Linked DNA regions of Yarrowia lipolytica. The protein of the gene in region 2 binds, or shares a complex with, the protein of the main gene of each other region. Links are inferred from orthologs where the notes say so. Each region holds a gene or a part of one and is shown on either strand. Other genes may lie near its edges. The genes, in order: YALI1_B25593g and YALI1_E05709g.

The links.
Region 1: the proteins of YALI1_E05709g (region 2) and YALI1_B25593g are in contact, whole or in part, in a crystal structure (PDB 2VDU), measured with the Saccharomyces cerevisiae proteins. The link is inferred for Yarrowia lipolytica from reciprocal best matches to the Saccharomyces cerevisiae genes TRM82 and TRM8. Residues at the interface, in NP_010449.1 of Saccharomyces cerevisiae: Asp172, Glu189, Leu192, Gly193, His194, Val195, Ser196, Asp208, His210, Asp219, Glu220, His221, Lys223, His226, Gln229, Cys230, Phe231, Ile232, Val233, Asp234, Lys235, Trp236, Phe238, Gly239, Lys241; in NP_010080.1 of Saccharomyces cerevisiae: Tyr69, Val71, Ser72, Pro73, Met163, Lys164, Phe165, Pro167, Asn168, Lys172, Asn199, Thr200, Leu201, Ser203, Glu204, Tyr207, His235, Pro236, Leu237, Thr282, Pro283, Ile285, Leu286.

Annotation. Positions count from the first base shown.
Region 1 is NC_090771.1:2,557,853-2,561,527, forward strand, and holds YALI1_B25593g (uncharacterized protein), read right to left. Parts: upstream 1,434-3,675; coding exon 555-1,433; downstream 1-554. Other genes in the region: YALI1_B25603g (uncharacterized protein), read left to right, coding at 2,458-3,675. UniProt on the Saccharomyces cerevisiae protein: Methyltransferase that catalyzes the formation of N(7)-methylguanine at position 46 (m7G46) in tRNA, a modification required to maintain stability of tRNAs; its absence resulting in tRNA decay.
Region 2 is NC_090774.1:569,341-572,867, reverse strand, and holds YALI1_E05709g (uncharacterized protein), read right to left. Parts: upstream 1,901-3,527; coding exon 749-1,900; downstream 1-748. Other genes in the region: YALI1_E05701g (uncharacterized protein), read left to right, coding at 2,487-2,523, 2,684-3,527. UniProt on the Saccharomyces cerevisiae protein: Required for the formation of N(7)-methylguanine at position 46 (m7G46) in tRNA, a modification required to maintain stability of tRNAs; its absence resulting in tRNA decay.

The DNA.
Region 1 (3,675 bases), on a different chromosome or scaffold from region 2:
TTCTATTTTATTCTAATGATTCATTACAACTATATACCTAACAAGCCGGGTTATTGGCGTTCAATAAATCATTCATTATTTATTTTTATTCTAATGAGTCATTATTATGTAATCCGACGACCCTGACTAAGGAGATCTCTCCCTAACAAAGGCAGAAAAGCTGGCCCGATGGTTTAGTGGTATAATTCTCGCTTAGGGTGTCCTAGGCAATTTGCGAGAGGTCCCGGGTTCAATTCCCGGTTGGGCCCAGTTTCTTTTTGTCCCAGATAATGCTTTTGTTGACAGCAGTATGTTTTTGACCTTACTAAGCCGCATTACTTTGAGGAACTACGAATACTTGTGTATGACTACATCTGGCACGGTCTATGTACAGTAAAGAGTGTCTATACTGTATACACCCTTCATTAAACACAATAATCAATCTATCTTACATATCCTTTTCCTCCTCGCCTATGGGTCTCCACATCATGATCTACATAGGATGTTGTTCTGTAAAAGTACATACATCCTTGTCCATTTTTGGCCAGTAGTTGCCGCAGGTCACTTCCGCTTCCTTACCACTCAGGGTTCTCCTTTCGTCGGAAGCATGCAACAAACTTATCTCCCTCGTTTCGGGCCACCTTCTTGCCCTCCTCGGTCTCGACCAGCATGGTGGCCACACAAGGATCAGCGTCCTCCTCCTCCTTGGTCAGTCGCTCAAATAGAGGGTGAGCGGCCAAATGCTTGACCATCCACTCGTGCAGATCCTTAACGTCGGTGATGGTGTAGACGATTCCTCCAGGTCGCACAACATAGGCGTACTCGGAGCACAGGGTGGTGGTGACGATTCGAGCCTTGTGTTTTCGCTGCTTGAAGTGAGGATCGGGGAAGCAGAAGAAGATCTTGGACAGCTGGCCTTTTTCGAAGAAGTTGGGCAGGAACTTCATAGCGTTGCCTCGCAGAACACTGATGTTCTGATAGCCGTCGGTCTCCTTGTTCTGGTGTCGAAGAGCCACAATTCGGTCCTCCACGTAGTTAGTAACCTGCACTCGGATCTCCATTCCCAGGATCAGCTGGTTGGGCAGCTGGGGGGAGAGAGCAACCAGCAAGCCTCCGAATCCACATCCAATGTCTGCCACCTCGACCTTCTGGCCTTCCTTTCGGTTGGGGTAAAGTACGTCCCAGTCCATGTCGGCGGGCGACTCGGGATACTCCAGCTGATGGTCAGAGAAGGGATTCGAATGAGCTCGCTGTCTGTAGTATCGCTTCTTGGGGAGCTTGATCTCGCCGTCCTCGGGCTGCTCGAAGGATACTCCCTTCTTGGCTGCCAGTCGCTTCTCCTCCTGCTCTTGTCGGTACTTTTGTCGCTTGTGCACAAAGGATTCCTTCTCCTCCTTTCCCATGTTAGCAGTCTCCGCCTCAATGTCCATTTCGCTCTGATCTCGTTTCAACATTGTGTGATTTGGGGTCCAAAAAAAAATTAAGCCTGATTAAAATTCTGCATGAAGGATGTGATAGAGGTGAGGAGGAACGGTAGGAGAATAGGTGAGGGGGTGGTAGAAAAGAATAAAAGACAGCGGCTCCTCTAAAGTTTGCGTCATGGAGCTGATTTCCATCACCCCTTGACTGTTGTTCACTCTTGTCAGATTATGACTTAGTAATCAAATTTTTTTCACTAATGATAACTTAATCGTGGTGAGCCTTCGGATTCCGACAGACGTCGAGTGAGACAGAGCTAATTTGAGAGGCGAGTGGGCGAAGAAGCCAATCATAGCAAAACGGTTTAAAAAAAGGAAGCCGTTGTTGCTTGCAAGATTGATTTCTTTTCCCTGTTAAGCCCGCGGATATTAAATGTTCTTCAAGCCTTATTGTAAGCCTCTTCGAGGTATTTACAGTGGTGGTGTTGTGTTTGTTTGCCTCAAAATGCTTTGGCCTCAACAGGACGACACGTCACGTCACGTAATGTACCGATAATACTTTTACAACAAATTTGGACAGGTCCCAGTACAAGGTGAAACAGATTGAAAGTGTGACGGACAGAATAACCCCACGAAGCTACAGATACACGTGCCCATTCATTCAGGAAATCTGGTTGGTCCGCTAACCCCAAGCATTACTCTACACGATGATTCACGCACGGCATCTCTTCATGCATGTCAGGCCTGTGCCGTCTACTTGTACGGTACTTCGCGATTCATAGAGTCGTGATACGTCCACATTAATGGATTGGGATATAAGGTTGTGTCTCGAGTGATAGAAATGGGAGAACGGGATGGATAGAGAGAGTATCCCACTCATCACACTGGCCTTGTGGTACGTCCATCGTTGTCTATATATACCCAATTAATTGCCCTAAACCCACCTTTCCTTTACTTATCTCTTCCACCTCCCAGACCTCACAATGCTCATGTACAGCACAAGTATTGTAGTCCTTACAGCCACCACAACCCCACTGCAACTTAAACTTCCTCTCGCACTATGCTTCGCCGCTTGAGTAGTGCCGTGCCCCATCGTCTAGGACAAGTACAAAAGCACCTGACCACTTTCAACCGTCTTCTCTCTACCTCATCCTCTACAAATATGTCTCTCAACGACACCAAAGCACCCCACATCCAGCTCGCTATCAAGGATCACTTTGATGCTCTGTCCGACACTGAGAAGAAGTACGCCCACCACTTCTCTCGAGCCTCACATCTCGGAACCAGAGTTGTACTCAGACAGGTTTCGCCCGAGTCCGAGGACATCTACAACCTGATTCTGGCCATCGCTGAGGCTGTCAATCAGGACTACTCCAAGCTCGAGTCGGAGTCAGTGTCCAAGGAAGACGTTCGATCCTTCCTGGAGTACTCGTCCCAGTTCCTGTCCAACCTCGGAAACTTCAAGTCCTTTGGAGATGCCAAGTTTGTTCCTCGACTGGAACGTGCCAAGTTCGCCACCATTGCTGCCACCGCCGACCAGACCGCCAACTTCGACAAGGTGGCCGACGCCATCTACTCCACCGACAAGACCCTGCTGGGCTTCCTGGACAAGGGCCACGTGACCGCGTACTACGGCGGCGACATCACTGAAGACGAAATCACAAAGATCAACGACTTCTGCGCCTCTAAGACCATCTACCCCGAAAACACCCGGGTGTGGAAGACTGGCCCCAAGCAATTTGAGCTGCGAATCGCCTCGGCTGATACCGGCATCGCCCAGGATACCCAGTTCGATCCCTCCTACGAGATTCCCGATGTTGGAACCCTCAAGCTGGCCTACGGAGACTCCAAGAACGAGTTTGCCCAGATCTCCGAGGAGATGGCTGCTGCTGGAAAGAACGCTGCCAATCACGTTCAGGAGCAGATGATCGCCGCCTACGTTGACTCCTTCAAGACTGGCTCCATGGCTGCTCACCGAGAGTCCCAGAAGTTCTGGGTCAAGGACCTGGGTCCGGCTGTTGAGACCAACATTGGTTTCATCGAGACCTACCGAGACCCCGCTGGTGTGCGAGGCGAATGGGAGGGTCTTGTGGCTGTCGTCAACAAGGAGCGAACCAAGAAGTTTGGCGCTCTCGTTGAGGGGGCCAAGGAGTACGTTTCCCAGCTGCCCTGGGACGCCGAGTTCGAGAAGGACGTTTTCACTCCTCCGGATTTCCTGTCTCTGGAGGTTCTCACTTTCGCCGGTTCAGGTATTCCCGCCGGAATCAACATTCCTAAC
Region 2 (3,527 bases):
TGTTTCGTTCCTTAGGCCTGTTGAAGAACCACAGTTGATGTTATTCCCAAGATACAAAGGCAAAACGATTTTTGGCGAAAATTGAACGAACCATACGAGCACTGACTACAGTAAGCGACCTCAACGACAACCCTGAGCTTAACTTTGTTTGTGCTGGTGTGTAGAGCTGGGGTTTGGGACACGCGCACTGCAAAAAAGGCTAAGGAAAAAAGAACGACGTGTGGAGAGAGCCGTAGATGGTGCCCTTGAACTGTAGCCCACGACGATGTGGTGAGTCCACTTGCGCTGAGGGCACGTGTATTTAGGTATTCGTATTCGTTCTGGGGTGGCAAAAGCAAAAAAAAAAACAGTCAACTTGAGCTCCTACACAGCTCAGATATCACGTGGAAGGATGATGATCGGCCTATTTTTCATTTAGCTGGGCAACCTAACCACGAAACGAAACGTGACGTGGGTGTTCTTCTCTCGATACAGTATGCGCTGAAGCCACCTGAGACACTCCCCGAAAAAAAATCCAACCTTGTGAACTTAAACTAAAAATAGAGGAGAAATTAGTTGATGGGGCCAGCCCTCCAAGTGTGTGGTCTGTCACAAGTACACTAGGATACGTCTGTTCAATCAATAAAAATCTATCATGTATTCAATAGTTACTTTTAAACCTCCTCGAGGCATTGTTGTACATATGCTGGCTACTCTTTGCAAGTAACACCTCCCTCCATTGTTAGAACCCCGTCAAGAAACAAACCACTTAGAACTCTCCTCGCTTTCGCAACGACTTGGTGCTGAAGAGAGAAATGAGCTCGGAATCGTCCTCGTACTCGCAAGAGCCAAAGGGAATCTCCTTGTCACTCTTGGTCACGACTCCGTCGGTGATGGTGTATGCCTTGACTCCCTCAGAGCCAACTTCAGAGGTCACCAGGAGGTTGCCAGCCACGCTGAAAGAAATGACATGAGCCTCAGTGGCGAAGACAGAGGCAACCTCCAGCTTGTTGTCGACAATCTTGAGCACAATAATAGCGTTGGTGCTCTCGACGTTGACGAGCAGGTAAGGAGTGTCCTTGATCTGCTGCAGAGAAGACACTGTGATCTCCTTGTGGGTGGTAGCAACGCCCTTCTTGTCGACATAAATGTGGGCCTCGTTAAGGTAGCTCTCGACGTGCTCTCGCAGAGACAGCTTCTGCAGCTGCTTGCCATTGAGCCAGTCCCACACAAAGATCTCGTCATCTCCACCGGCAGAGAAGAGAATGGAGGCATCGAGATCGTTGATCAACAGGCTGGAGACAAACTGCTGGTGGCCAAAGCAGAACTGCTCAATGACGTGGGAAGCGGGGAACCGACTGATTCGAATGTGCTCGTCTCGGTCGGCAGAAATGACGTAAGGTCGATCCTTGGAGTCGTAGCCCAGCTCCAGAGCTGTGAGCATGGAGACATGGCCCAGCACAGGCTCGTCTTTGAGTTCTCCCTCCACCTTGAGCAGATCCTCCACAGACTCTCCGTACACGTCTCCGAACTTGTCGCCAAGAACAATGTTCAGATCCTCCTTGTCAGTAGCGACAGCGCTGGGTCTCTTGGGGTATTGCACCTTCTTGATCACTTCAAGGGTTGTGGGATCAAGCAGAACAAGAGACTTGGTCTCGTCTGTGGTGGCCAGCAGATACTTTCCGCCCTTGGAAAGTTGCAGAGATCTGACATGAGACACAGACGTAGGCAGGTACTTGGTTCGTTTGGCAGCAGCAGGCTTATCTCCGGTTTTGGTGGTTGTTCGAGTGGCAGACTCCTCAACGACAGTGGACTTGCACTCGCCGGTCTCGAGGCAGATTCGATCCACCTGTCGCGCAGCAGCGGCGTACATGGTCTTTCCGTCAGGAGAAAGAGACACGATGTGATAAGGATGCTTCATTGGGCGACTTTGAACACTCGTTAGGGCCTCAGTTGTGTGAATAAATCATTCCGATTAAGATTCAGATAAATTTTGGCATCCTGCATGAATTACGTAATCCGACTTGGGATTGGAAATAGCACCACATTAGTGAGCCACAGGTGTTAGGACGACGGAAAAATGGTACAAGGGCTGGTTCTAATGAGCAAGATGAGTAATTGTCAGGATCAAAAATCACCCCTTTTGGTCACGTGGCAACTCTAATTGTTATCATCTCTATCTGACTTTTAGTGCGGCGCAAAAAATTGCCGAGAGAAAAATCTTGTATGGAAGATGTGTCCAGGACTGGATGTAAAAATTGTTCGTGCGAGTACAAAGAGATCGTTGCCGGATCATTATTCTAACTTAAGTGCTTTCTCTATCAAAAATATCAGAAAGGCTCTGTTATCCTCTCACAAGGTGGACATGGCGGGTTGACCTGCCTGGAACATGCCTCATGGATATACAGTTGAGTTTTCATGCAACTTCACTGCACTCTTTTCTGGACCTAAATTATTTTCTATATCCCCATTCTGAGACTCCTGACGGTTCCTTGCACGCAGAAATCATGACGGTCAAGCAACTAGAACACGCCAGTATTAAGAGTGAGTATTTGCGTTGGAGGGGGTTCGTGGGCGCAATACCGAAGTGCCTCAAGATGAGGCCTACAGATCAGACCTGACTCAGAGTGAAGTACCACGGCTGAATGAGTGTCAGAAACCACCGTAGGCTCTCTGGTTGCGCATCTGATCAATACTAACACAGACTCTTGGTTCACTGAAGTTTCCGACTCTTTTCCAGGCCAGGGCCTGATGCTGAAGGTCGAGGAAATTTTGCATGTTTCGCAGAGCGAGTTCCAGGATGTTCTTGTGTTTCGATCCACGGAGTACGGAAATGTGCTGGTTCTGGATGGAGTGGTACAGGTGTCTGAGCGAGATGAGTTTGCGTACCAGGAGATGATTTGCCATGTAGCCATGATGTCGCATGAGTGTCCCAAGAGAGTGCTGGTTATTGGAGGCGGAGATGGTGGAGTTCTCAGAGAAATCGTTAAGCATGAGTCTGTGGAGGCTGCACATTTGTGTGAGATTGACGAGAGCGTCATCGAGCTCTCCAAGAAGTATCTCCCCAACATGGCCGTAGGTTTCGATAACACCAAGGTCACAGTTCATATCAGAGACGGTTTCGAGTTCATCCGAGAAGTTGCCCGGAGTGATGAGAAGTACGACGTCATCATCACTGACTCTTCGGACCCCGATGGCCCTGCTGAAAAGTTCTTCCAGCGCGAGTATTTTCAGCTTTTGCACACCGCCCTCAATGATGACGGTATTGTTATCACCCAGTCTTCGGAGAACGTCTGGCTCAACTTCAAGTTTGTCAAGCAACTCCGTGACATCTGCAAGGGTGTTTTCGCATCTGTGGAATACTGCGCTGCTCTGTTGCCCACTTACACCTCTGGCCAGCTGGGTCTGATGGTCTGCAGTAAGAAGCCGACCAATCTCAAGATCCCCAAGCGACAGTGGACTCAAGAGGAAGAGTCCAGTCTGGTCAGATACTATAACAAGGAAATCCACGAGGCATCATTTGTGCTGCCCAACTGGGCAAAGCATTT